Linked DNA regions of Schizosaccharomyces pombe. The protein of the gene in region 1 binds, or shares a complex with, the protein of each later gene. Each region holds a gene or a part of one and is shown on either strand. Other genes may lie near its edges. The genes, in order: smn1, yip11, gem8 and yip12.

The links.
Region 2: smn1 (region 1) and yip11 share a complex: the UniProt entries of both Schizosaccharomyces pombe proteins name them as parts of the core SMN complex.
Region 3: smn1 (region 1) and gem8 share a complex: the UniProt entries of both Schizosaccharomyces pombe proteins name them as parts of the core SMN complex.
Region 4: smn1 (region 1) and yip12 share a complex: the UniProt entries of both Schizosaccharomyces pombe proteins name them as parts of the core SMN complex.

What each region holds. Positions count from the first base shown.
Region 1 is NC_003424.3:819,167-826,477, reverse strand, and holds smn1 (SMN complex subunit Smn1/Gem1), read left to right. Parts: upstream 1-3,523; 5' UTR 3,524-3,628; coding exon 3,629-3,989; exon of another isoform or gene 3,990-4,048; coding exon 4,049-4,146; 3' UTR 4,147-4,386; downstream 4,387-7,311. Other genes in the region: SPOM_SPAC2G11.09 (Ca(2+) transporter), read right to left, coding at 249-2,584, 2,694-2,739; protein phosphatase PP2C catalytic subunit Ptc3, read left to right, coding at 4,774-5,101, 5,360-5,433, 5,473-6,315; AAA family ATPase Vps4, read right to left, coding at 6,828-7,311. UniProt on the Schizosaccharomyces pombe protein: The SMN complex catalyzes the assembly of small nuclear ribonucleoproteins (snRNPs), the building blocks of the spliceosome, and thereby plays an important role in the splicing of cellular pre-mRNAs.
Region 2 is NC_003424.3:4,903,503-4,911,875, reverse strand, and holds yip11 (SMN complex subunit Yip11/Gem2), read left to right. Parts: upstream 1-5,481; coding exon 5,482-5,648; exon of another isoform or gene 5,649-5,753; coding exon 5,754-6,102; exon of another isoform or gene 6,103-6,176; coding exon 6,177-6,368; 3' UTR 6,369-7,655; downstream 7,656-8,373. Other genes in the region: 19S proteasome regulatory subunit Rpn502, read left to right, coding at 1,001-1,084, 1,132-2,379; rsm22-cox11 tandem protein cox1102, read right to left, coding at 2,637-4,898; bud20 (zinc finger ribosome biogenesis protein), read left to right, coding at 7,700-7,776, 7,836-8,133. UniProt on the Schizosaccharomyces pombe protein: The SMN complex catalyzes the assembly of small nuclear ribonucleoproteins (snRNPs), the building blocks of the spliceosome, and thereby plays an important role in the splicing of cellular pre-mRNAs.
Region 3 is NC_003423.3:2,288,126-2,295,235, reverse strand, and holds gem8 (protein gem8), read left to right. Parts: upstream 1-3,895; 5' UTR 3,896-3,932; coding exon 3,933-4,433; 3' UTR 4,434-4,641; downstream 4,642-7,110. Other genes in the region: SUMO E1-like activator enzyme Uba2, read right to left, coding at 3-83, 125-205; snd301 (pho88 family protein), read left to right, coding at 1,111-1,149, 1,197-1,359, 1,461-1,843; cyclophilin family peptidyl-prolyl cis-trans isomerase Cyp7, read right to left, coding at 2,095-3,346, 3,437-3,541, 3,584-3,612, 3,653-3,658; Rieske iron-sulfur protein, ubiquinol-cytochrome-c reductase complex subunit 5, Rip1, read left to right, coding at 5,178-5,864; serine/threonine protein phosphatase PP2A catalytic subunit Ppa2, read right to left, coding at 6,959-7,110. UniProt on the Schizosaccharomyces pombe protein: The SMN complex catalyzes the assembly of small nuclear ribonucleoproteins (snRNPs), the building blocks of the spliceosome, and thereby plays an important role in the splicing of cellular pre-mRNAs.
Region 4 is NC_003424.3:1,265,233-1,272,466, reverse strand, and holds yip12 (SMN complex subunit Yip12/Gem2), read right to left. Parts: upstream 1,718-7,234; coding exon 1,551-1,717; exon of another isoform or gene 1,446-1,550; coding exon 1,097-1,445; exon of another isoform or gene 1,023-1,096; coding exon 831-1,022; 3' UTR 721-830; downstream 1-720. Other genes in the region: pex12 (ubiquitin-protein ligase E3), read right to left, coding at 1-452, 495-578; rsm22-cox11 tandem protein cox1101, read left to right, coding at 2,301-4,562; 19S proteasome regulatory subunit Rpn501, read right to left, coding at 4,820-6,067, 6,115-6,198; chaperonin-containing T-complex epsilon subunit Cct5, read left to right, coding at 6,925-7,234. UniProt on the Schizosaccharomyces pombe protein: The SMN complex catalyzes the assembly of small nuclear ribonucleoproteins (snRNPs), the building blocks of the spliceosome, and thereby plays an important role in the splicing of cellular pre-mRNAs.

The DNA.
Region 1 (7,311 bases):
CATTACAATGGAATTTACTCAGGGCTTATAACTTTAAGTGCAAAATGTAGCAGCCCAAATTGTTCATCTTACAAAACAGTCGAAAGGTAATCAGCCAAAAAGCTTTTATTGAATAAAAAGCAGCTATGCGATTTGAATAAAAAACTAAACTAAATAAAAAACGAAAATAAATATGAATAAACGAAAAGTGTTGGGAACGATGGATGTAGGGTGACGGTATTAAATAAGAACATGACTTAAAAACAATATTAAGCGGTGTTCAAATCAATTAAAGGCAATTCTTCGTTGCTTAGATCGAAGCCCGGATGAACATAGGAGCCAGAACTTTCTGAGTTACGGCTTTCTGATTCTGATGAGAGCGTGTTACTTTGATGTGTTCGAATGTAATAAAGTGAGACAAACTGCATTGAACTTCTTATCATTGTTGAGAAGTTGTAAGCAGATATTACTGTGAAACAAAGAAGAGGGAAGATTACCGTGCTGAGCCAGTATGCCTTCCGTAAACTCATCAATCCCATCATGGTTAATTGCATAATTACACAACCAAAAATCATTCGTAGAAAAATGGTACTCCATAATTCACCAGTTGAATGCTGTGGATGTTCCATTTGATATATGAGCTCGTACTTGTATACCAGAAACCCTATAATAAAATATATTAAACCAAACACCAAAATAAGAGGAGAAATTATGCTATAGCATAAACATATAAGCATTATAAACATGGGCTGGGGCAGAAATATGCCTACGCTAAAAGAATCGGGCGTTTCGAATTTTTTAGAAGCAATAGAATATGGCACAAAGGATCGACGTACAAAATATGATGACAGTTTTCCAAGCTGTATCAATTTCAAAGGGAACATTCCAATACCTTGCAAAACTATTAAATCGATAAAAAATTGAGCTTGATGTGGTAACCTGTTGGCAAGGAAATGCGCAAAACTGGTGGTATCTTTTGCTAACTCCCAAATTGAAGTTGAACCAGCAATAACATAGACTAGAAAAAAGTTTACAAAGAGATAAGCATAATTCTTACCAACAGCGTAAATTTCCTCTTCAGCGCGAGAGCTCAGGCCTTGCATAGACGATAACCATCGAAAAAGAAATGGTGAAATGCTGATGAATAGTGAATAAACCAACGTTGGAAGGAAAGTGCGCAACAAAGAATTTAAAAAAGGGAGATCTTCAATCATACGACCAAGTTCCGGCCAGAGTCTTCGAATTGTATCTAAGTTAATAAATACGGCAATGGCTCCCACAGGAACAGTCCATAGCAAGATTATCATAAATGTAACGAGAGTTATGAACCAACCTTGAAAAAACTTATGCCATCTACCGATATAGGTATTATGCCACTGAATATCATTTGCTGCAGGTGCCAGTTCAATATGCAAACCCATCAATGATTTGCTGTCAATATGAGTTTGGGCTACAATTTGCGCAGTCGCCATAGATTCAAACGTTATAAACGCCTGACCTGTGGTAGGATAATCAAAAGAACGAGCATTTTCAATCTGTTGGCTTATTTTATAAAGCTTAGCCGAATAAAAATCGATTGCGTCAATCTTTTGACCAAAAATACCAAAAAAATGAGTTTTTATTAACGGATGGCATTGATGATGTTGCCAAGGAACCTCCAAAAGTTGTTCTGGTGTTGATTCAAGTTCTGCTCTGTTTGGACTAAGATAATTCGAAGGAGGTAAAGTGGAAATTCCAAGCTTTTTGCAGTTACTTAAATAGATAGACCAATATTTTTCTAATTTCTTGACGTATTTACTTTTTTTAGACAGTAATATATCCATGTATGAGTAATTTCGGCATATACTTAAACTGTCTATAGAACCCACATCTAATTTATCAAAATATGCTTTTAAATTTTCCGTTGAACAAAGTTCATTAGGTAAACCAGATATAAAAACGGTTCTGTCCGTCAATCTATTTTGACGAGCCAGATATGATTGACGAATGTCAGCAATCGATTTTGTTGAGGAAAAAAGAACATAAAGAAGAAAAATGGAAATAAAGTAAGTAAAAAGAACGTAAAGATAGAGAAATCCATCACCAGGCTGTGGAAGACCTGGTATATCAGATAAATTACCAATTGGATTAAATAAAGAAGGTCCTAACACACCAACATTTAACTCACTACCATTAGCAATAATAGGAGATTGTACAATTGACTTCTTGACAAGTGGACTTGAGAAGAAATATTCAGATTTGGCAGGCATCGACAAAGTAATATTCCCGAATGCATCTCCACGAAAATGCTTATTGACGGGCATAATAATCAAAACGCCAAGCAGGGAAGCAAAAGAAAGGAATTTTATACCCATTTTAAAAAACAATAAAAAAACGTAGCCGTCCAAACCAGCACAATTTTGCACTACATCATCAGGGATGTTTACTAAATCCATTAACCATTTGTAGTACGATGAAGAAAGTGTAGGTAAATTGAGACCTTCAATGGTAGTTCTAGGGGCATATAGTACTTTCCATCTTTTACGAAAGAAGCAAAAGAATACGCATGCAGAGGCTCCAAGTAAAAAGGCGAGCCAAAATTGAGTTCTTAAATCGCTCGATGGATCTGTTTTCAGCGATGAATCTCGAATCTGTAGGAATTAACACCCGCAGATCGAAGATTCAAACAACGTTAGCAATTTTGTTACAAATGAGGGAAGGATAGGTATACTTACTTTTTCTAGGATCACTGTCGAAAATACCATATCCATTGAAAGCCATTATTGCAAAGTAGCAAACTTAAGGGTCCTTTCGTCAAATTATCGAGGAATGAATGAACGATCGTTTCAGAAAATCGAGAACAAGAAAAATCTGATCTATCCAAGTATTATATGCATGTAAAAAGTAACGGAAAAAGGAAATTATCAAAAGATACACTATTGAAATATGTTATGATAGTTTTTCATGAACGAAAATCTTTAAAATATGAATGTATGTAGAGGAGGGATAGTAGAACGATACTCATCCAATACCCATTCGCATGGTCTTTCAGAATGCGATATGTACTTAACGTAAATTAAGATGACGATGCATAAAAATATGTAACGTAATTACGTGGAGCTACCTTAAATTCAATTAGGTAGTTTAAAATCTATCCCAGAAAGCTAACTTACTGAGAAGTCCTCGCTAAACCATATTAGCGCATGTAGCATTTAATGAATTATTCGTGTGGATATTAGATAACTGATTTAGGTTGATTTTTGTAGCTTATACAATTCCTTTTTCTTTTTGGTATAATAAAGCCAAAATCGTAAACAAAGATGAATTGGAATAAACATTCTTTCACAATACTTCCACGAGTTCACATCGCCATGTGCGAACCTCGTTATATCTTTGACCTCGAATTCTTGTAGTCCTGTCCACTAAGGCGGCTGATAGTTAAGGCAAGGAGCTAAGTTACCACAGCAGATTATAATTGTTGTAGTAAGCGGAATCGCCGAGCTCAAACTGTTTATCGTTATACGCGTTGTGCTTTATAAACAATATTTTCACTTTAATAATATTCAATTAATATAAGAGTTAACAAAGTTGGAAACTACTTGTTAATAAAGCTTTCTTAAGGTACAAAGAAAGACATACAGGAATAGATTATCTACAACTTGTACCAAAAATGGACCAGAGCCAAAAAGAAGTGTGGGATGATTCAGAGCTCAGAAATGCCTTTGAAACCGCTTTACATGAATTCAAAAAGTATCATAGTATTGAAGCAAAGGGAGGAGTATCGGACCCGGATTCTAGGCTAGATGGTGAAAAATTAATTTCAGCTGCACGGACAGAAGAATCAATAAGTAAGCTAGAAGAAGGTGAGCAGATGATAAATCAGCAAACAGAGACGACATTGGAAGGAGATACACATATCCAACAGTTTGCAGATAATAAAGGCCTTAGCGACGAAAAGCCTGAAACAAGGGCAGCAGAGACACATCAAGAGTTTATGGAAGTTCCTCCCCCTATAAGAGGGTTAACATATGGTAAGTAAAAGGTCTTCTAAGAAAATTTATGACTCTCTATTATTAACATAATGATTTAGACGAGACTTACAAAAAGCTTATCATGAGCTGGTACTATGCGGGCTACTATACAGGTTTAGCTGAAGGACTTGCTAAAAGTGAGCAACGTAAAGATTAGCTTCTTGTGCTATTTTTCAAAGTTATGTATATCTTCATTGTTGATGTTGTTATAAAACTGTTATCCTACTTGCTATTGCTAAGATTTATTACTCCTATCAAATAGTTCTATTTCAATTTTCTTTCTAATAAGTAGAATTTATTTGGTCATTTATTAAATCCAATGGAATTTTTAATTGAATCAAAATAATATCATTTTTGCCTAATAGAAATTTTTTCTGAATCAAGTTGCTGAATTTGTTGGGGCATTCTACTCAGCGTTGTTTTTGTCTCTATTGTAGTCATAGTAAAATGCAAACCATTGAAAAATCAATTTATAGGATATGCTATGTTTACACATGTTTTTTAATGAACATTTGAAATTTATAAGTATTTAGTCCTTGATACCATTTATTCTGTTGTTTACATATATGCCTTGACTACTGCTAATCTTGTTACCTTCCATAGTCTTTTAACAACTATCGTTCGTCTCCACGGTGGTGATGTAGTTGTAGAGGGTGCCACAACACTCCCTCCGACAAGCTCCACCACCTACTAGCGATTTACCTATCACTACTACATAACCCGTTTTGAAGCGACACAAAAAGAAAACGTGAAAATTTGTGTCATCTATTAGCAAGAGCTGTCAATGGGTCAGACATTATCAGAGCCAGTCACCGAGAAGCACTCGGTGAACGGGAGCAATGAGTTCGTCCTTTATGGACTTTCAAGCATGCAAGGATGGCGTATCTCAATGGAAGATGCTCATTCTGCTATACTTTCAATGGAGTGCTCTGCAGTAAAAGACCCGGTCGACTTTTTTGCGGTTTATGACGGCCACGGTGGAGACAAAGTCGCGAAATGGTGTGGAAGCAATCTTCCTCAGATTCTTGAAAAGAATCCTGATTTTCAGAAAGGCGATTTTGTTAATGCTTTGAAATCTTCATTTTTAAATGCTGATAAAGCTATTTTGGATGGTAAGTTTGTTGTTAACAATGATAAAGTTGTTTTCATTGATATCATAACCATTTTAAAGTCGCCAAAAAATTGATGAATTTTGTGTTTGAAATTTTTATAGATTTTTTGTTCTTTTGTCTAGTTAATGCTTAGAAAAATTGTTACCAAGATAATAGAAATGTTTACCTCTTGATGTTGAAAAGTTGTTACATTTAGTTTGGTTTCAGAAAAAAAATTTGTCATTTCACTACATTGCATTTTGCTAACTATTTTGACAGATGATCAATTTCATACGGATCCATCAGGTTGCACGGCCACTGTTGTTCTTCGTGTTGGAAATAAACTTTATTGTGTAAGTCTTGGAAGTTGTTTAGTCTTACTAATTGTGTAGGCTAATGCCGGTGACTCAAGAACTGTCCTTGGCAGTAAGGGAATTGCAAAACCTCTATCAGCAGACCATAAGCCTTCAAATGAAGCCGAAAAAGCCCGTATTTGTGCGGCTGGTGGCTTTGTAGACTTTGGCCGTGTAAATGGAAATTTGGCTTTGTCAAGAGCTATCGGTGATTTTGAGTTCAAAAACAGTAATTTAGAACCAGAAAAACAAATAGTTACTGCCTTACCGGATGTTGTTGTACATGAGATTACTGACGATGATGAATTCGTCGTACTCGCTTGTGATGGTATTTGGGATTGCAAGACTTCGCAGCAAGTGATCGAGTTTGTTAGACGTGGCATAGTTGCTGGAACCTCTCTTGAGAAGATTGCTGAAAATTTAATGGATAACTGCATAGCCAGTGACACCGAAACTACCGGCCTTGGTTGTGACAACATGACTGTTTGTATAGTTGCCTTATTGCAAGAAAACGATAAATCAGCATGGTATAAGAAGATTGCAGATAGAGTTGCCGCTAACGACGGACCCTGCGCTCCTCCTGAGTATGCCGAAAATCATGGCCCAGGATGGCGTAGTGGCGATAACAATAAGAAAGTTATTGTCCCACCTAATTTTCATCAAGTAAAGTTAAATGGATCTGATGGATATGACAAAGATGCGAATGAAAATTCTAAGGAAGATGATTCCACCAACGGATCCCTTGCAGCTGGGTTCAGATGGAAAGAACACTTTTTCCCTCATAAAGCCGAGGAGGAAAATTCTTCAAGTGAAACCGATATCGTAAATTCTAACAAAGATGTTGCGGATGATCATAAGGAGGCTGTGTCTGCAGCAGATTGATTATTCCCTACTTCACGCATATTACACAATGTAACTTGCTTTTAGGAATATTCCTCGTAATTAGCATTATTTGTTGACTTATTATAAAAGTCACGCTAGGCGGTTTTGTTTCAACATTTTTTCATGCTTTTCTTTTGTTGTTCGTATAATACGTGCCTGCGACGTATACCGATTACCTCCGAGAATGAAAAGGTTTTTGGTACGTTGCTACTTTGCACTTTTTGATAGCATGCGATTTCTATATCAATTTTGTCGAATACTGTCTTTTATAATCCTGATTCAAAATCAGTTAAGATTATGGAAAATATTTCTCTGGCATGAGTAAACATACCCAGACTAATTTCCGATTGCCCTAATAGATATTGTCGAAGCAATATACATTCCCTTCAATATTCTACTAGTTCCATAATTTACTAAAGTGATTCAACATTTGTGAGTGTAGTCATGATATTATACTTCTTTACAATAATGGTATCATTAAACTAAGCGAAAATAGCTCCTTTATCATATTACTATCCCTCTGCTCCAAAGTCCTTTGTAAATTGTGTGTGCTTTTCTATATCACCAGCATTAAGCGTAGGCTTGACTTTACGAACTGCACTGTAGAAATCTCGAACAGTAAGTTTTGGTTCCATAATGTCTTCAGGATTCACCTCTAGCCAACTAGATTCAAATGCATCAGGATCACCAGGAGAACAAGGAGTTACAAGGGTCCTATTAGACTTGTTATCATATACCTCTTTGAAATGGGTAGCTGTGTGAATTCGTCTTACAGGCTCCATTATTGCATCACGAACAACAATAGAAATATCTGAACCCGAGTAGCCATCGGTCATTTTAGCAAGTTCTTTGAAATCTTGTGAGGTCAGTTCCGAAGGTATTTTACCGACATTAAGCTCGAACATCCGAGCGCGGGCATGAGCATTAGGCAGGGGAATGTAAATACGCTTTTCGAAACGTCGGCGAATAGCAGAATCAAGAGTCCAAGGAATATTC
Region 2 (8,373 bases), 4.1 Mb from region 1:
CCAAGATTTTCGAGGGGCAACTTTCTACCAACAGATTGCAACGTTGATCCTCATCGCAAACAAACTGGCACTACACAACAAAAAGCCAAACTATACAGTCATCCTACAAAACAAAAACTTACCGATGGACCTGGCCAACCCAACAACTTCAGCAATGAATGACTGACTGGATAAGTCAAATTCGAGCCACTATATTTATATCTCTTGGAAGCTTAACGAATTTAACCAACCTGCTGTCAAATGCACAAACCTTCGCTAACCTTGTGAGAGTGGAGATAGCAAAATTTTTTCTTTTATGCCGAGGAGATGCTAATTATGCTGCTATGAAGTCGGTCAAGAGTAAATCTGGTCCTTATATGACGCAAGCTAGATCTAGATTAATGCTATAGGCATACGAAACTTTGGTATTAAAAAAAAAAAAAAAAAAAAAAAAAAAAAAAAAAACTAACTCAGTATAACAATATTGACAATAATAATATACCGAACCTGTGGTGTTTTTCCAGACTTGGCATCATAATAATTGGCCTAATTTTTCTGCAGGTCAAAGGTGCTTTTGGGAAGGGAAGTTCCATTTTCTCTCAATAGGCCACGAACTCGGTCTTTCAATTCCCTGCATTTTTGTATCCGCTATCGCTAATGTGGGTCCAGTAACAAGGGAGTGTGATTTTAGAGTCAGTTAGATGGAAAAGCTATCATTTACTGCCTAAAAGCAGTTCGAAATCTCGGATCTACGAACTAAGAAGCCGAACGGCTCATTCGCGTTATCAACGGGTATCTATGTATATAGACGGATCGTTACCCGTGATTATCAATAAACGGATCTTAGCTAGTATTCCAACATATGACATATAGTGATACGCAACGTAGTGTATCATAGCGTAGAGTAGTATTGCTGACAACTAAAGTATTTTGCGAGCGTGCGGTACAACTCTGTAATCATAAGAAATCAACTCGCAATATTAGTCTCAATTGTACACTCTCCAACAACCCACATATCGAAATGGAACAGAAACCGGAAGTTGATTACTCAGAGAAGTTTGCAGAGTTACAAAAAAGTTTAAATAACCTTAATACCATAGACATCGTACGTAAAAATCAAAATTTTGACTAATCTCTAACTTGTAATTGTAGGATGCGAACCTCGAGAAGCTTTTGATTTTTGAGAAGCAAGTTCGTCAGGCTTCTGACACCAGCACGAATACGAAAGTATTAATATACATTGCTGATTTGCTCTTTCGAGCTGGTGATTTCCAAGGCTTAAACGAACAGTTGGTTAGTCTCTTTAAAAAGCATGGCCAACTGAAACAATCGATGACAAGTTTAGTCCAACATGTAATGACCTATCTTCCTGGAATTGACGATTTAAAAACAAAAATTAATTTGATTGAAACATTGCGTACTATTACTGATGGAAAGATATATGTGGAAGTAGAAAGGGCACGTCTTACACAACTGCTTTCCCAGATTAAAGAAGAGCAAGGTGACATCAAATCTGCCCAGGAGATCTTGTGTAATGAACCAGTAGAGACTTACGGATCTTTTGATTTGAAGGAAAAAGTTGCATTCATTTTGGATCAAGTTAGATTATTCTTACTGAGGTCTGATTACTACATGGCATCTACTTACACGAAGAAAATAAATGTTAAGTTTTTTGAAAAGGAAGACGTCCAGTCTTTAAAACTTAAGTATTATGAGCAAAAAATCCGAATTGGTTTGCACGACGATGCATATCTTGATGTTTGTAAATATTATCGAGCAGTTTATGACACCGCCGTGGTTCAAGAGGACCCCGAGAAATGGAAAGAAATATTAGAAAATGTCGTTTGCTTTGCCTTGCTTACTCCTTATGATAACGAGCAGGCAGATCTTCTTCACCGAATTAATGCTGACCATAAACTAAATTCTCTTCCTTTACTCCAACAATTGGTTAAGTGCTTTATTGTCAATGAACTAATGAGATGGCCCAAAATTGCCGAAATCTATGGAAGTGCTTTAAGGAGTAATCCTGTTTTTGCTGAAAATGACGAAAAAGGTGAGAAACGTTGGTCTGAACTTCGTAAGCGAGTCATCGAACACAATATTCGTGTAGTCGCAAACTATTATTCCCGCATTCATTGCAGTCGTCTAGGAGTGTTGTTGGATATGAGTCCTTCCGAAACAGAACAATTTCTTTGCGACCTTATTGCAAAGCATCATTTCTATGCCAAGATTGATCGCCCAGCTCAAGTCATTTCATTCAAGAAATCTCAAAATGTGCAAGAGCAATTGAATGAGTGGGGTTCCAATATTACTGAACTTCTTGGAAAATTGGAAAAGGTAAGACAGCTTATTATAAAAGAAGAAATGATGAATTCTATTCAACAGGCGGTAGCCAAATAAATTGTTCCGTCTCTATTTCATTTCGTTACTTTCATGACTTTGTCATTTAAATAATATACTATTGGTTCAAAGGCCTTCAACTTTTTTTACGAGAATACAATAGTTTTAATGTCGAATTGCAACCTCGGAGAAAGTTATTCTAGTAAGTTTGTAGTGATTTTCGTTGTTATTTGTCTCGTAACTAGAAGGTTAACTTGATGAATTATTTTAAATAAATTATTGTAGTTCACTCAATATGTAGTCCCTTAATTTTTATTTCAGTTGAGTTTAGTTAAAAGATTGCCATTGGTATCATATCTGGCCTCAAAAAAAGTATAGCTTAGAAGAATATCGTCAATATCCTTCATATTTGGATCATCAGCAAATTCTGGATCTATAAAGAAAAACACAGGCAAGTCTACTTTTTCATGAGCATCTAGCTTTTGCTCTTCAAAGCAAAAGCATGCAACCTTTGAGAAGTAAACAGCGGCTTGACCTGGTACTATATTATAAGTTGCAACTCCTACTATGTCATGGTCGGACGTATTTTCAGCAGTATAAAACCCTAGAGCAGTCTCGCCTGGAAGAACATATATTTCACGCTGCTGGGGCCAAAGCTTCCAGCTAAGGTTTCCTGCAACGTCGCCATTGAAAGTAACTCTGATTCTTTTATTGTCTTTACGAGGAACCATTCTTTCTGCATTCATACGACTTTGGTCGGTATTAAGAGTGCCACCATAACCTGTTTTCGAACAGAAAAGACGATATAAAGGTACAGCCGCATATGTCAAGCCCAACGCAAAAATGGAAATTGCAACCAGATAATAGATAGTGGTCCTTTGATTATAGTGGAATTTATCTCTCGAATATTGTCGTGAAATATTCCTGGTACCAGAGATGCAATTGTAACAGCTAAATGAAGTAAAAATACAAGGGAAACGATGTGAATTAAAGTCTGCAAATCGAGAAAAAGCTTTATGACGATTAGTCGAATAGAATCGTTTTCCGACAAAAATAGGATCTGCAGTTGTATTTCTTTCAACTTTGGGTTTATTATATGAGGGGGGATTGATTGAATAGGTAGAAGAAGCATCTTTTAAATGTTTAGTAATTTTACTACTTGGAGAAGTACTTTGAACTTTGCCCTCTAACGGAAACAAGTCGCCCCAAGCACTTTTCCTAGCTAATCGATAAGCTAGTTTACCTTGTGATTTAGGAACAATATTCCTTCTAAGCCGAGCATCGCTATCACAGACATCAATTATGACATGTCCATCTCGCTTCAGTGGAGGTCGAATTATACGTGGCCAGTTTTTAAGAGTTGGAGATGTAACATTCACATTTTCTAGTAAATCCTCATCATTCTTGAACCTTTGTGTGGTATTATTAAGCGGTCTAGTTATACCCTTTTGAATAACAACATAACTGTAATGAGAGCGATCCGAGGATCGACGATGAGAACGAGGGACATATAGACGGGAAAATGGGGATAGGAAAAAATGTTGTTTGAAAGAACAAATATTTGCTCTTACCCCATTTTCTATATCAATGGGGCAGCGACCATCGTGGGGACAGGGTGCTACAATATGGGCATTGAATTGTTTATCAGAAGTATTTTTACTTTTTTGCAATAGAAATGTTCTAGCTCTTTGAATCAAACTAAAGCCACGCTTTGTGCCTCGCTCGCAGAGCACCAAAAGACCACCATCATTTGACACGAGACTCCAAAGCGAACGAAGATAATCAAAGAGTTCTTTCTCCGATTTCATTTCAAGAAGCTTGTTAGATGCAATAACTAGAGTGTATGAATCCTTTTTACCCAATGGTAGACGGTTAAGCGTAACAGGGCTAGTTGGATTCGGCGAAGTTGACGGGTAAATGTTATGGTGAATATCATATATGATTTTTTTCAAAAATGGGTTCTCCTCAACAATTGAAACTGAATTAGGTGTGGGAAAGACTGAATAACTAGCTAGAGCACCAATACCTGGACCTTTACCGCAATCCAGTATATGTTGAGACTTGCAAGACACATCACTGTTTACAATTTTCAAGTCAGTCAATACGCTGTATAGAGAAGCATATTGATACGGCATAGACTGATGAATATAAGCTAAAACTTGGGGATCTGTCATAGTCCGAGTAGATTCATCTTTGAATGGCGCAGACAATGGAAGCTGAGATTCCGTAGCCAAATCTTTTTTAATATCATTAATAAATTTTTTAATTTGTCCTTTTTCGCTCTTTTTCAATAAATCGTCCACATATAGATTAAATTTTGTATGCAAACTAATATCACCACTTTTCTTTTGATCCTTTACCAAAAAGTCGAGTAAACTGGAAGCTTCTGGACGATGTGAAGAGATCAATTCGTTTTTATAATCAGAAAAGTTGTTTTGAACAGCTTGAAAATTTGCATTATACCACCTAATGGTAGTGGTTGTTCCATATGGTATGAGACATCGCTGATTTTGAAAAGTAAAGCAATTCCGTAAATTATAAAGAAACAGAATTTTATATCTGCATGTTAGAATGGGCATATGTGCTGCTCAAAACACCAATTCACCAATGAACAATGGGATTTGGGGATAAAGCACTGATCTGTATATTGTGTAGAGTAAGTGCCTGATTAAGTGGCCGCAGATGGTGTTACTTGCGTTGACAGAAGAATGAATAGTACAATTTCCTACATATCTATATGTTTTATGTTTATTAAATTAGTTCAAGGATAGGCAATTCTGTCTGAGTGAATATTCTCCCAGTTTTAGCTTCTTATACACTTCAAAAAAATGCAAAACTTTGAACTTCTTTGAAAATAAGAACAAGTAATAAATTTTATGATAGTAAAGGAATTATCAAGAAATAGCTAAAATTAGTTTTAGCATTACACTTGATCAAGATAGACTCTTCACATTGATAGTTCTACAGATACCTCTTTAACCTTACCATTCTATTATACTAGGGTAATCTTCGATTTACGAAACATTCCTTGTTAACTAACTACAAACGAAAAGTTGCCGGAAAAAAACAGCCTACATTCCTTGAGTATTTTCATGAAAATTCGGTAATTCTTTTCCATTTGGTTTATATGAGAAGTTTGCAATTGTACAATAATAATTCAAAATGCCCTCGAAAAGAAAAAGAAATCCTTTACAATATCAGACTTCAGGATCATTAGATGAGGAAACAAATCAACGCAGCGCTTTTCCACAAATCGACAACAATAGTGCTTCAGAATCTTTGGAATATGATATACCACTTGATGGTTTAGATTATTTAGCAACTGTGAGGTACGAACATTTATATATGAATTTTTGTGAAAATCGAAATTTGCAACATGAATGCTTTAATCTAATCATTGTAACAATAATTGGGCTTTTTACTGACAAGTTCAGAGAAGAAGCTCGCAAGCTAGTTCCATTTGTAGCGGCGCGTCGTGAGCCTGAAACAAGAGAAACCATTCCTCTTCGCAAATTGGAAATCGAGGCCGGCAAAAAAAGCTTTGACCCGTTTTTACGATACTTACTAAACATAATTGATAAAGAAGGGGAAAGGCTTGAGCAATATATGGAATCTTCTTCATTGGACGCATCTATTTTACCTAAAAATTTACAACAATGGCGTGTATATATTGAGCATAAAGCTCCTTGTTGGGCCATATTAGCAGTGGTTGATTTGGCAACTGTTTTGGAGATCCTAGAAAGCTTGTCCAGCTGGCTTGAAAAGGACGCAATTGATTTACAGGTTGGTAACAAGGATCTCATGCTACTTTGCTGGTGTATTTTTGTTCATTCTAAAATTTGCTAACATTTTTCTAGAGTCAATGGATTTTTTGCTTTTGTTATAAACTTCCTGAGCTTTTGAATGGAGAAGATATATCGACCCTACGTTCAGTACTCAAGTCTTTACGAAGTACGCATACTTCTTTTCCTGCTCTGCAGATGTCAGCATCTGCCCTTCAAGCAGTCTTAGTTTATCGATATGGACAAAAAGATCTCTTTCAAACATAGAGTCTATAAATCTTGGTCGAAAAAAATTTAGGTACACATGTTCATATAGCATACGTTTGTTTATAGGGAAAAAATTAAAATTGATAGCTTGTTTTAAATATGTTTTTAGGATATTATTACTTTTTTGAATGAAAACATATGCTACACGGATATGCTGGGCTTTGCATCTTTGAACATGTGATTAAGCAAGCTTGGAGATAGCTGCAATAAACAATTTGCCTATTACAAATCGATAGATATATTTTAAAAAAACACGTTTGAATTGAGATAGGCAAAGTTATTTGTTTATTGATTCACATTTTCATTTTACAAAAAATGGCTTACTATTTGTTTAGTACGTGCATTCGTTTTGCTGTCTGCATACTTGTCGAATCGAGGGTTTCAATTATGTTATTACATGATAACTAGCAACTTTCTTTAATTCGCGCCCCATCTTACGAAATTAACTAATAAATTTTTACTGTCTTTTTCGACCGAGTGATTTTTTACCCATATGAGGTTTTTCAAATTCAAAACTAATTGAACATTGCAATTATTCTTTGGGAAAAAACAAAAGTCAAATAAAGATAAAATAAAAAAGAAATAATTACAACCTCACTGCCAAGAACCCCTTCGTGGTTAATTGAATCTTTTGAGTTCGAGCAATCAAGCTCCTTTTGTAAAACTAAATGTCACTAAAATTGCTCACACTTCAGTATAGCAGTCTAAATGGAGAGCTCAATTTTTTCCTTGCTGATAAGCGGACTCTGATCTCGCTACGTGAATACTTTCTTTCCTTCGACTAAACGTCAACTTGTCGAGACTTTGATGAAATAGTGGCAGTTAAAGCCAGAAAGCTACTGAATGTTAATTCATTTCTTCTATAGTTGCCATGTACTAAGAATCACGCCTAAAGCAATTTTCCCTAATAAATTCCGATGCTAAACATCCCTTAAATTACAAAGTTTTGTCAAACGATGGAGCAATCGTCGCTTAAAAAGCGCAATTTCAAAGGCATGCATTTCAACTTGCTTTGACCATGCTCTCCCAAATTTTGAACGAATATTTATTTATTAAAAAATTTACGCTACTTGAGCTATTCAGAACAATCAATAATACATATCTAATACATTTCTCTTGCTTTTCAACTATATAACGAGGCTTTCCTTCTCGTTATTAAACTTATCGCAAACTACGATAGGAAAATAAGATTATTTGAGAATTATTTTTCACTATACGATATAGCACACATTACGCCGTTTGGATATTGAATGTGTTTACGCTTAAAAAAGTTTATCCTTTGCAACTAACATTGTAATTGTGGTAAACGGGTTTGTTTGAAGTGACGGACAATGGGAAGAGTTGCCAGAAAAAGAAAGCATCATAGCAATGGAAATCATGCTTTGTTTAGAACTCGTGTTTATGGGAGGTATGCAAATTTCATGGTCATTCAATCATCGTTTGGTAAATTAACAATTGGACAAATAGAGACTTAGATCAGATTCACAATGACTTAACAGAGTCTGAGAAATTTGATAAATTACCTATAGATCCGGATTTGCCAGGTTTAGGTCAACATTATTGCATTGAATGTGCACGGTACTTTGACTCGTCTCAAGCATTGCTGGTGCATAAGAAGGGAAAGGTTCACAAACGAAGGTTAAAAAATTTGCGTGAAGAGCCGTATACACAAGAAGAAGCAGAAGCTGCGGTGAATATTGGACAGCCAAAACAGAGTGTAGCTTCCAAGCTTGCTGACAATAGTAACGTTGTCATGGCGGACTAAACTAGAGACACATTTACGAATGCTAAGTTAGTCAGCACTTTTGCTTTTGTTCCATATTCGTAGCGCATGCTCTTTATTTAAACAGATTTTTATATGTCTCATTCTCATTTATTCTGCTATATTATCATTAGCAGCGTTTATTGGTAATTTTAGTTGCATCCATGTTTGGATTACAAATTTACAACTAATACCTTACCATTGGTTACTGGATGTTAATCTAGCTTCAAGAGTGAGCATCTC
Region 3 (7,110 bases), on another chromosome or scaffold:
ACTATATGAACTTCTTTAACTCCTGACATAAGAAGGTTCTTTAACAATTCACACCCAATTCCACCCGCTCCAACTAAAAGGACCTGACCAATTGTTAAAACCCACCAGTTTTTCTATTACATACCTTGGCAGACTTGAAATTTCGTAAGGCCTCCACAAATGTCAATGGTTTCATATCGTTGCTGAGTTGCATTAGGGTTGGCATGTTAGCAATCGATTCTAATTATGGGCTTAAAAGAAGCGAGAAAAACAATCCCATACAAATAGAATAAATAGCAAGTTCGCCAGCTATTATTAATTTTGAAGTCCCTGCGCGATAAAACTAGAGCATTAATTTATTACACTAAGTTACCTTATTTAATTTTTCTATCCTACAAAAAATTACTTTCATTAGAACTCACAATAAAATAAATAAAGAATAGAGAAGTGCATACTACAAAATATAAAATTGAGTATTCTTTCACTTTGGGCTTGTTGGACAACATATTCGTAGTTACTAATGCCTGTCAAAAAAACGATAAACTTTTTTTTAACAATTGATTTCACATTTTGCTAATGTACTATTTCTTCAAAATCGTGGTAAAAATGTATTTTAACCACAAACATGCGAGTGATAAACAACTTACAAAAGCTTCAGGGCTAAATTTTAAATTGTAAGCAAAATAAATAAAACTGAAACTGGGTTGTATTTCTATGTAAGTGAACCACAACTTATCATATTAGTGAATGCAGAAACATTTTTTTCGTTCTGCAAATTAAGAGTCTTAGGCATTCTCATGCAATAGCACTACGATTTGTTACTGCAGGAAATCCCTTATTAGCGCAAGGCATTCATGTTTAAACAACTCTAATTTTCCAACATTCGTTCACCAGAGATGCGTCGCTTGCCAAGTTGGATCAGATAGAAGGCACTTTCAAGAAAAAAAATAATTCTACGTCTTTTCTTACTCAATTCTATTGCAAAAAAACTCCAAATCCTGGCTCTTAAAAGTATAGTAACAGAATATAGCTAGGCAGAAATGTATGGTAACATGTTACCTTTCAGTAGTGTATTATCAACACCAAATGTATGAGAGGTAGTCTGAGTTCAACGTCTACACTTCGTACAAAATGGTTTCAAGATGGGAGAAATTGAAGAATAATCCTCAAGTAAGATTTTGAAAAAACATTTGGCTGGGCAGGTGTTAACATGATAGACTAAATCAATCGGTATCTCTATCTTCTTGATGATGATCACCAGGGTAATTGATTTCTCAAGACCCTCATTACTTTGGCCTTTGAGGATTCTATACGCTACAGTGAATATAGTTCAAATAGGAATTTTCCTCTACACGAAGATTATTATCGAAAAGAAAAACGGTACGTTGGTTTGGAAGATTGGTTGTTTCGTCTTTCTTAATAAAATGGGTAGATAAACGAATTCAATCTACCATGGTTCATCTATTCTCTAACAATTCTAGATTTAACTGTTTTAAAATATGTTGAACCCGCTACTCCCATGTCTGGACGTGAACATTCAAAATTTGTCGCTACCACCGTGCGTGATTACGATTTGAGCAAACTCTTGACATCTTTTAAACAAATGCTCGTGACAATTGCTACCACTTTGTTCATGCATTTATATATGGGCTACGCTCCTCCTCTTCTCTTACAGTCTGTATCTGCTGCTAGAGGTCTGTTTGATAACAGTGAAGTGCAGATTCACGTTCAAAATAAGCCTGCTATTGATGAGTTGAGACGTCCTTTCAAATCATCTGGTGGCCTTCTTGGTAGTTTTGGTCAAGTTTTGACTGATAAAAAAAGTGTGGATGAAGCTGAATTAACCAAACTCAAGCCCACTTAAAAAATGTGTTGTTAAGTTGTCAGGAATTTTTAATAATTTCTCTTCTTCCACAACACACCTCGTGTTTAAAAATTATAGTGATACGAGTTTTTTTTCGTTGTGATAAATACAATTGTTTACTTTGCAAGTCACTAATTGACCATTCCCATACTTTGCTTAAAATGTAATTATTATTAGAATTTACAAACGAAATATGTGAAATATTAATTTATACTTAAAAGAAGCATAGGTTTTTTTTTCTTTGTAAAACATTAAATTATATCGCGTTTCATTAAAAGCTTCTTAGGCCTAGCACTTGGAACATCTTTAAGCTCTTCTGCTCGTTGTATTCGAAGTTCTTCCGTTCTTCTTGTTGGATCATTTTCAGCCACCAATCGATGCGCAAACCAGTTGCTGTTCGTTTCTGTTATATTTTTTTCGCCAAGCCTATCAAAACATGAAAAGCAACCAGGAACATTGTGTAAGCTGCAAGGTGTGTCTTCTATTTTGCTACCATATTGACTATCCATGACATCTTCATCTTCTGCATTTCGAATCTTGCTTTGAAATGATGAAAGTGCTCGAAGGGTCGACTCTTCGTCATTCTCCAAGTTTTTTCGCTTCCCTAAGACAACTTTTTTGGATTTTTTATACTTTTCAAGTTCCTCAGTCAAGATGTTCCGTTTTTTAGGACGTACAACCACGGGTTTCGAGTTTGAAGAGCCACCACTTTTTTCTAAGTCACGAAGTTCAGACTTCAAACGGGAAATTTCTTCTTGTACCTTGGACTTAGAGGAAGAATTTAACTTTGTATCTAAAGTGTCTACTTGCCTAGCATATTCATCGGAAGAGACTTTAGCAGAGGTCAATCCAGTTTGGGCAGACGAGTAAGTACTGTGAATTGAGGATGAAGATGAAATCAAATCTTTACTTAACTCAGTCGTAGTATCAGATGATCTGGATACTGGCGTTTTCTGCCTGAGCGGCTTTTTTACAATAGGCATATCGACTTCATCGCCAAAACTGAGAACTGCTTTATTTCGTCGTCCGGATTTCAATAATTTGTTTCTTTCTTTCTGTTTTTCCTGGTGGGCTAGCTCATTGGCAATTTTCTCTCTTTCTTCTTTAGTTGAACGAGGTTTTATGTCAGTAAAATAATTGTCAATTACCTCTGTTGAAATTATTTTTGGGGGAAAAACAGGTCGTTGGTTGGCATCTAACTCTAACTCAGATATCCTTACTACATTGTAAATGGTATCCCCTACAACACGTCCAAATAGAGTTTGCTTGCCATTCCATTCAGGTGTTGGACCTAAGGTGATAAAAAATTGAGAGTTGTTTCCCTCATTTTCAGTACATGCCATTCCCACTAATCCTCTTCTTATAAACCGTAACCTAGGATGTGTTTCTACAGCAAAAGGTTCACCATATATAGATTCACCACCCATTCCAGTGCCAGTAGGATCTCCACCCTGTATCAAAAACTCTGGTACAACTCTATGAACAATGGTTCCATCGTAATAACTGTATTTAATTAGTATATTTGTAAACCCGAAGCAGTTTAATGTTGCAACATTTGGGACTACAACGTTGCTCATCAACGATTTAACTTACCCTTCCAAGCATAACTGTATAAAGTTTCTACAGGCCTTCGGCACTTCTTTGCACCAAAGTTCTATCTGGATATCGCCGCGAGTAGTTTTAAGGATGACAGTCCCCCTATAATGTTAGTAAAAGTAACTGGAAATCTGAAAAACATACGTTGCCAAAGGCTCCAAGTTGGTCAAAGTCTGAGAGATTAGTCGAAGGGAGCAAGAAAAATATACTTACGGCCATTCCATAAAGTACATCAAATATTAAGGATCGCTAAATTCTTAAAGAAACTACTCATCTTGTAAGTTTGCGTTGTTAGTATAATCCTAACGTATTACCTTGTTTTGCTTTAATTGGGTTATCAAATTCACTACGATACAGTATTTTAATTTGGGTGATTCATTAAATGTTCTAGCGTAGCTTTGCTCGTTCATCAAATTGATTTCATCGCAACTTGTTACAACTAGCAAAGTAATCCTTACTGAATCCAATATTGTGTAAAACCACGGAACTTTTAATGAGTTCTGAAATTACAGAAGGAGACTTACAGAAATTCCATGATGAGCATTTTAATGCAAAAGCAGTAAACCTATGGAATGTTGCTTTCGCGCAAAACGATCGTGGGGGAAATTCAGAAAGTGCAAACGTTGAGTATACACAAAGTGTAGAGCGCTATCCTGATGGGACTATACGAACGTTAACAGATGAGCAAATTCTTTGGTTCCGTGAATCGGAAAAAAGGGAGTTAATGTGGAAAAAGGAGAAGGAGCAATTGTTAAAAGAAAAAGAATTAAGACAAAAAGCACTGGACAAGGAGAGAATGGTTTCTTCCAAACCAGAAACCAACCCAAAAACACCAATCTCATTAAAAGAATTGAAAGATATCGAAATATATCAAAACCAGTTCCATTACTCGGCTTATGAAATTTTAGAGGAAGAAAAAATACTTGATAATATTTTTCGCAAGTTTACTGCATTACCTATCAAATATTGGCCGGCAACACCAATACGAGGATAGAACGTTTTATGAATTGATGATGTTCAATAGAGTAGAAAAATTTCCTGCATATTAATGAAGGATACGCTTAATATTCAATAAATGTCACCAATCTTCATGAATACATTATACATAAGTATATTGCATTTCTTCTACATTGAACTATGATTAATGATATATACCAATTCCTTAAAATAATTAAGGCTAGTGAAAGAATACGATAATTTTCAATCTAATACTGTTGTATTGTTTTATGCAGGTGCTGTACCTTGTAAAGTGATGAATGATACTACTGTAAACATCTAAATATTGGATAATATTATAATCTCCAAATAGTTTATAGCTGGACGGAAGAACGTAAATCCAGCTATGTTCTTATACGGAACCTAGTAAAATAGACTGGAAAATTATATCTGATAAAACAAAATGATCTCTAGCGTACCATAATATTGGAATTTGAAAGATATAGGATTTTCGATTCGTGATGATATATGTACTGCACAGTCTAGCACTATACTGTACTGATCGTTAAAAGTAGCTGTAAAATTATGTTAATTTTTTATTGTGTACTTCGTTATTTTTCGGAGAACTTCGGATATGTAGTTTCATCAATCGGTGAATTCGGTAAATACAACTAACCTTCTTAGCAAATCACAGCACCCACAAACGCCGCCATTTTTAAACCAGAGGCAGCTTGACGTTTCTTCCCCAACCGCTACCCACCGAATATTTCAACAACCTGTTTCTCTTTAAAACGTTGTAAAAATGCTGGCCAAGCAATTTATTTCTAAGTCGTTAGCATCTTCGTTAAGACGGTTGCTTCCCGTTTCAAGCACTGCTTCGTCGTTGAAGGGCTCAATGATGACCATCCCAAAATTTACCTCTATTCGTACATATACTGACTCTCCGGAAATGCCAGACTTTTCGGAGTATCAAACAAAGAGCACTGGTGATCGTTCTCGTGTTATATCTTATGCCATGGTAGGCACAATGGGTGCTCTTACAGCCGCTGGAGCTCAAGCTACTGTTCATGATTTCTTGGCGAGTTGGTCTGCATCTGCTGATGTGTTGGCTATGTCGAAGGCCGAGGTTGATTTGTCGAAAATTCCAGAGGGAAAGAACCTTGTCGTCAAATGGCAGGGTAAGCCTGTTTTTATCCGTCATCGTACTCCTGAAGAAATCCAAGAAGCCAATTCTGTAGATATTAGCACTCTTAGGGATCCTCAAGCGGACTCTGACCGTGTTCAAAAACCCGAGTGGCTTGTTATGATTGGTGTCTGTACTCATCTTGGTTGTGTACCCATTGGCGAAGCTGGTGACTATGGCGGATGGTTCTGCCCTTGTCACGGTTCTCATTATGATATCTCTGGTCGTATTCGCCGTGGTCCTGCACCTCTTAACTTGGCGATTCCTGCTTATACGTTTGAAGGAAGCAAAATTATCATCGGATAAAATTTATTTCGCTCAAAAACTTTTGTCCTAGCTGATTTCCTCCCTCCTTTTTCTCCCCTCTCTTTTACTTCTTCTTTAGCCTGTTGGGGATCAAGTCATATGCTGTCTTACTTGCTTCTTATTTTTATTTGTCCAATGCACTTTCTCATAGCCTTTGTTGGTCCATTTGGCTTATACAGCAGTCAAGATGGCAATTGCAGACTTCCTTTTTCTTGTTATAGTCATTTACTGATACAAACCCCCTTCTCATTCTCAATTAATGCAACCTTGAATCTCTTATTCCAAGACGTAAATCAATAATTTTGTATGTGACGCCTGATTCATGCAAGTCAGATGGTTCTTATTTTATCGTAGTCTAATGTAACTTTACTTTCCCTTTGGTGGTAGTTTCTTAAACCGCTAAAAATATATATAATCCTTGAGTACTCTTCTTGCCTTCAAGGTTTGTGAAATGCAAAAGTATCCCCTTATACTTGAATAAAAAAGTTGTACAATTCAAATATGTAGTTATTGTAGGTTTATCTGACAAGTATCAATAATAAATAAATATCTAGACAAATAAACCATTTTTTTTCTTTAAAAGTTCTTTATAGACAAACTTCTACAAATATGGAATCATGAAGCTGGCTTAAAAAGTTTGGTCATAAAGCTTTAGGATGTTTAATTCATTACAGCACATGACTGCTTAAGCATGCCTAATTCTAACTCATAATATTGTCTCAAAACAATACCATCCAACTATGCAGCAGTCGTTAATCGCTATCACGACATATTAAATAGCAGATATTTCTCGAAGAAATAAGTCCACAACCAAAAATCCTAGTGTGCTTATCAAAATTAACAAGAATATTTCACGTACGTATAAGACACGGTTGCAATGGCTTGAAGTGGAATACATATAAGGATTTTAAGATTTCCTTGCAAAAAAGGTACTTGACAAGTCCTGGAAATGAAAAGACAGTCTGAAGATTCGTATGCGGAGGATGTACAAAGTAGTCTTTTTAATCTTGAGTATTAACTCAAAAATCAGAAAGGTGGATAAATTTTTTGAAACAATCACAATCGATTGATCACTCATTAGAGAATTGAAACTTTTAAAGGAAGTAGTCTGGTGTCCTTCGAGCTATTACCGGTTCGCCTTCTCGTGGGGCAGGATCGAATTGTAAAAAGACTTGATTCATCGTATCATCAACTTCCAAAATAGCTGCTTGATTACCACAGCGATAACAATAATTTGGGGCAGAAA
Region 4 (7,234 bases), 450 kb from region 1:
GATTTTCTTATCAAACGAAATACAAAATGCAAAATTTTCTTCAACCTGACAAGTAGGATCTTAATTTTCGAATAAAATACACTTAAAGCCCCTTTCTGCTTGTCACGAGCCTGTAATGAGAGAATAGAAACGGCAGTATGATTTTCTTTAACCGTTGTTAACGATTCGCACTTTTCAAGCAAATATGGTATGCAATAAGTTAAAAACAACTTTTTTAACACGTCAATCCCATTGAGCGAAGTAGCGGACTCTGATTCTTGTGGGAATTCCTCAGCGATTATACTACTGTCACGAACCGCTATTACTCGTTTGAGTTGAAACCTTCTTTCAACAGATGTAGCATTCCATTTTTTAAGCTGAGATTTCTCAAGTAAAAGTTTTACCAATAAATAAATACCATCAAAAGAATTATATGCCCGTAATAAAAATCTTGGATATCGATGTGTGAAATACTGAAAGAGATTAATTTATCATCATTTATTTATTTTACTTACTGCTAGTATAAACCTTAATGAAGGTGATATAAGTTTTTCCACCTGTTGAACTTGTAAAACTTCCAATAATGAAGGCGAATCCATTGACTGAATAGCTCCTTAGACAAGTGCGTTGAAGCAAGGAAAGGACTGAACTAGATCCATTAGAATCTTTGTAGTTTGAGTACTTACTGTAAATTTGCAAATAAAAACTGAAATTTTAAACAGTTATTTAATGGAATAATATCCTAAAAACATATTTAAAACAAGCTATCAATTTTAATTTTTTCCCTATAAACAAACGTATGCTATATGAACATGTGTACCTAAATTTTTTTCGACCAAGATTTATAGACTCTATGTTTGAAAGAGATCTTTTTGTCCATATCGATAAACTAAGACTGCTTGAAGGGCAGATGCTGACATCTGCAGAGCAGGAAAAGAAGTATGCGTACTTCGTAAAGACTTGAGTACTGAACGTAGGGTCGATATATCTTCTCCATTCAAAAGCTCAGGAAGTTTATAACAAAAGCAAAAAATCCATTGACTCTAGAAAAATGTTAGCAAATTTTAGAATGAACAAAAATACACCAGCAAAGTAGCATGAGATCCTTGTTACCAACCTGTAAATCAATTGCGTCCTTTTCAAGCCAGCTGGACAAGCTTTCTAGGATCTCCAAAACAGTTGCCAAATCAACCACTGCTAATATGGCCCAACAAGGAGCTTTATGCTCAATATATACACGCCATTGTTGTAAATTTTTAGGTAAAATAGATGCGTCCAATGAAGAAGATTCCATATATTGCTCAAGCCTTTCCCCTTCTTTATCAATTATGTTTAGTAAGTATCGTAAAAACGGGTCAAAGCTTTTTTTGCCGGCCTCGATTTCCAATTTGCGAAGAGGAATGGTTTCTCTTGTTTCAGGCTCACGACGCGCCGCTACAAATGGAACTAGCTTGCGAGCTTCTTCTCTGAACTTGTCAGTAAAAAGCCCAATTATTGTTACAATGATTAGATTAAAGCATTCATGTTGCAAATTTCGATTTTCACAAAAATTCATATATAAATGTTCGTACCTCACAGTTGCTAAATAATCTAAACCATCAAGTGGTATATCATATTCCAAAGATTCTGAAGCACTATTGTTGTCGATTTGTGGAAAAGCGCTGCGTTGATTTGTTTCCTCATCTAATGATCCTGAAGTCTGATATTGTAAAGGATTTCTTTTTCTTTTCGAGGGCATTTTGAATTATTATTGTACAATTGCAAACTTCTCATATAAACCAAATGGAAAAGAATTACCGAATTTTCATGAAAATACTCAAGGAATGTAGGCTGTTTTTTTCCGGCAACTTTTCGTTTGTAGTTAGTTAACAAGGAATGTTTCGTAAATCGAAGATTACCCTAGTATAATAGAATGGTAAGGTTAAAGAGGTATCTGTAGAACTATCAATGTGAAGAGTCTATCTTGATCAAGTGTAATGCTAAAACTAATTTTAGCTATTTCTTGATAATTCCTTTACTATCATAAAATTTATTACTTGTTCTTATTTTCAAAGAAGTTCAAAGTTTTGCATTTTTTTGAAGTGTATAAGAAGCTAAAACTGGGAGAATATTCACTCAGACAGAATTGCCTATCCTTGAACTAATTTAATAAACATAAAACATATAGATATGTAGGAAATTGTACTATTCATTCTTCTGTCAACGCAAGTAACACCATCTGCGGCCACTTAATCAGGCACTTACTCTACACAATATACAGATCAGTGCTTTATCCCCAAATCCCATTGTTCATTGGTGAATTGGTGTTTTGAGCAGCACATATGCCCATTCTAACATGCAGATATAAAATTCTGTTTCTTTATAATTTACGGAATTGCTTTACTTTTCAAAATCAGCGATGTCTCATACCATATGGAACAACCACTACCATTAGGTGGTATAATGCAAATTTTCAAGCTGTTCAAAACAACTTTTCTGATTATAAAAACGAATTGATCTCTTCACATCGTCCAGAAGCTTCCAGTTTACTCGACTTTTTGGTAAAGGATCAAAAGAAAAGTGGTGATATTAGTTTGCATACAAAATTTAATCTATATGTGGACGATTTATTGAAAAAGAGCGAAAAAGGACAAATTAAAAAATTTATTAATGATATTAAAAAAGATTTGGCTACGGAATCTCAGCTTCCATTGTCTGCGCCATTCAAAGATGAATCTACTCGGACTATGACAGATCCCCAAGTTTTAGCTTATATTCATCAGTCTATGCCGTATCAATATGCTTCTCTATACAGCGTATTGACTGACTTGAAAATTGTAAACAGTGATGTGTCTTGCAAGTCTCAACATATACTGGATTGCGGTAAAGGTCCAGGTATTGGTGCTCTAGCTAGTTATTCAGTCTTTCCCACACCTAATTCAGTTTCAATTGTTGAGGAGAACCCATTTTTGAAAAAAATCATATATGATATTCACCATAACATTTACCCGTCAACTTCGCCGAATCCAACTAGCCCTGTTACGCTTAACCGTCTACCATTGGGTAAAAAGGATTCATACACTCTAGTTATTGCATCTAACAAGCTTCTTGAAATGAAATCGGAGAAAGAACTCTTTGATTATCTTCGTTCGCTTTGGAGTCTCGTGTCAAATGATGGTGGTCTTTTGGTGCTCTGCGAGCGAGGCACAAAGCGTGGCTTTAGTTTGATTCAAAGAGCTAGAACATTTCTATTGCAAAAAAGTAAAAATACTTCTGATAAACAATTCAATGCCCATATTGTAGCACCCTGTCCCCACGATGGTCGCTGCCCCATTGATATAGAAAATGGGGTAAGAGCAAATATTTGTTCTTTCAAACAACATTTTTTCCTATCCCCATTTTCCCGTCTATATGTCCCTCGTTCTCATCGTCGATCCTCGGATCGCTCTCATTACAGTTATGTTGTTATTCAAAAGGGTATAACTAGACCGCTTAATAATACCACACAAAGGTTCAAGAATGATGAGGATTTACTAGAAAATGTGAATGTTACATCTCCAACTCTTAAAAACTGGCCACGTATAATTCGACCTCCACTGAAGCGAGATGGACATGTCATAATTGATGTCTGTGATAGCGATGCTCGGCTTAGAAGGAATATTGTTCCTAAATCACAAGGTAAACTAGCTTATCGATTAGCTAGGAAAAGTGCTTGGGGCGACTTGTTTCCGTTAGAGGGCAAAGTTCAAAGTACTTCTCCAAGTAGTAAAATTACTAAACATTTAAAAGATGCTTCTTCTACCTATTCAATCAATCCCCCCTCATATAATAAACCCAAAGTTGAAAGAAATACAACTGCAGATCCTATTTTTGTCGGAAAACGATTCTATTCGACTAATCGTCATAAAGCTTTTTCTCGATTTGCAGACTTTAATTCACATCGTTTCCCTTGTATTTTTACTTCATTTAGCTGTTACAATTGCATCTCTGGTACCAGGAAATATTCACGACAATATTCGAGAGATAAATTCCACTATAATCAAAGGACCACTATCTATTATCTGGTTGCAATTTCCATTTTTGCGTTGGGCTTGACATATGCGGCTGTACCTTTATATCGTCTTTTCTGTTCGAAAACAGGTTATGGTGGCACTCTTAATACCGACCAAAGTCGTATGAATGCAGAAAGAATGGTTCCTCGTAAAGACAATAAAAGAATCAGAGTTACTTTCAATGGCGACGTTGCAGGAAACCTTAGCTGGAAGCTTTGGCCCCAGCAGCGTGAAATATATGTTCTTCCAGGCGAGACTGCTCTAGGGTTTTATACTGCTGAAAATACGTCCGACCATGACATAGTAGGAGTTGCAACTTATAATATAGTACCAGGTCAAGCCGCTGTTTACTTCTCAAAGGTTGCATGCTTTTGCTTTGAAGAGCAAAAGCTAGATGCTCATGAAAAAGTAGACTTGCCTGTGTTTTTCTTTATAGATCCAGAATTTGCTGATGATCCAAATATGAAGGATATTGACGATATTCTTCTAAGCTATACTTTTTTTGAGGCCAGATATGATACCAATGGCAATCTTTTAACTAAACTCAACTGAAATAAAAATTAAGGGACTACATATTGAGTGAACTACAATAATTTATTTAAAATAATTCATCAAGTTAACCTTCTAGTTACGAGACAAATAACAACGAAAATCACTACAAACTTACTAGAATAACTTTCTCCGAGGTTGCAATTCGACATTAAAACTATTGTATTCTCGTAAAAAAAGTTGAAGGCCTTTGAACCAATAGTATATTATTTAAATGACAAAGTCATGAAAGTAACGAAATGAAATAGAGACGGAACAATTTATTTGGCTACCGCCTGTTGAATAGAATTCATCATTTCTTCTTTTATAATAAGCTGTCTTACCTTTTCCAATTTTCCAAGAAGTTCAGTAATATTGGAACCCCACTCATTCAATTGCTCTTGCACATTTTGAGATTTCTTGAATGAAATGACTTGAGCTGGGCGATCAATCTTGGCATAGAAATGATGCTTTGCAATAAGATCGCAAAGAAATTGTTCTGTTTCGGAAGGACTCATATCCAACAACACTCCTAGACGACTGCAATGAATGCGGGAATAATAGTTTGCGACTACACGAATATTGTGTTCGATGACTCGCTTACGAAGTTCAGACCAACGTTTCTCACCTTTTTCATCATTTTCAGCAAAAACAGGATTACTCCTTAAAGCACTTCCATAGATTTCGGCAATTTTGGGCCATCTCATTAGTTCATTGACAATAAAGCACTTAACCAATTGTTGGAGTAAAGGAAGAGAATTTAGTTTATGGTCAGCATTAATTCGGTGAAGAAGATCTGCCTGCTCGTTATCATAAGGAGTAAGCAAGGCAAAGCAAACGACATTTTCTAATATTTCTTTCCATTTCTCGGGGTCCTCTTGAACCACGGCGGTGTCATAAACTGCTCGATAATATTTACAAACATCAAGATATGCATCGTCGTGCAAACCAATTCGGATTTTTTGCTCATAATACTTAAGTTTTAAAGACTGGACGTCTTCCTTTTCAAAAAACTTAACATTTATTTTCTTCGTGTAAGTAGATGCCATGTAGTAATCAGACCTCAGTAAGAATAATCTAACTTGATCCAAAATGAATGCAACTTTTTCCTTCAAATCAAAAGATCCGTAAGTCTCTACTGGTTCATTACACAAGATCTCCTGGGCAGATTTGATGTCACCTTGCTCTTCTTTAATCTGGGAAAGCAGTTGTGTAAGACGTGCCCTTTCTACTTCCACATATATCTTTCCATCAGTAATAGTACGCAATGTTTCAATCAAATTAATTTTTGTTTTTAAATCGTCAATTCCAGGAAGATAGGTCATTACATGTTGGACTAAACTTGTCATCGATTGTTTCAGTTGGCCATGCTTTTTAAAGAGACTAACCAACTGTTCGTTTAAGCCTTGGAAATCACCAGCTCGAAAGAGCAAATCAGCAATGTATATTAATACTTTCGTATTCGTGCTGGTGTCAGAAGCCTGACGAACTTGCTTCTCAAAAATCAAAAGCTTCTCGAGGTTCGCATCCTACAATTACAAGTTAGAGATTAGTCAAAATTTTGATTTTTACGTACGATGTCTATGGTATTAAGGTTATTTAAACTTTTTTGTAACTCTGCAAACTTCTCTGAGTAATCAACTTCCGGTTTCTGTTCCATTTCGATATGTGGGTTGTTGGAGAGTGTACAATTGAGACTAATATTGCGAGTTGATTTCTTATGATTACAGAGTTGTAACGCACGCTCGCAAAATACTTTAGTTGTCAGCAATAGTACACTACGCTATGATACACTACGTTGCGTATCACTATATGTCATATGTTGGAATACTAGCTAAGATCCGTTTATTGATAATCACGGGTAACTATCCGTCTATATACATAGATACCCGTTGATAACAACTATTTAGAAATATTATAAATAGCGTTACAACTGAACCTCGTTCCTCAGTTCAGTTATGAGCTATATTAGTGATAGGTAACATTATAACTCAGTTAATACAATACCTATACTCAGTTGCTACTTATACAACCTGTGTATTGTAATATAATAGACCACAAGGAAAACTCACCGCAGTTCTACGTATCCTTAAATCAGATACCAAACTGCGTAGCTTACATTAGTGAAATATAGTGCTTATTTCTTCTATAGAAGTTCGTAAAATGCTGAAGGGCCGCAACATATTAGACGTGCTTTCAACGACATTCTAAAGAATACACCCTAAGCTTGAACCTCAAGTTATTTCAACGATTTAAAGGGAAGTAAGAGATAAGGTTCTTTGTGAAATCGTTCAAAAGTATTTCAAGGATTTGGGTTAGTGTAGCGTTCAGTTTTATCACTTGAAATTCATTTGCATCGACAGTTCACAATAACAAGATGAGCAAAATGGCCGGTCTAGATAACGCTGTTATGGTCCGTGACGATCAAGGAAATCCTTTCATTTTAGTACGTGACCAGGAAAAGAAGAGAAGATTGCATGGAATTGATGCTGTAAAAAGTCACATATTAGCTACCAAAACAGTTGCTAATATTGTGCGTACTTCTTTGGGTCCCCGTGGACTGGATAAAATTTTAATCTCTCCAGATGGAGAGATTACGGTTACCAATGACGGTGCTACAATCCTCGACCAAATGGAGGTTGAACATCAAATTGCAAAGCTGTTAGTTCAGTTGTCTAAATCTCAAGATGATGAAA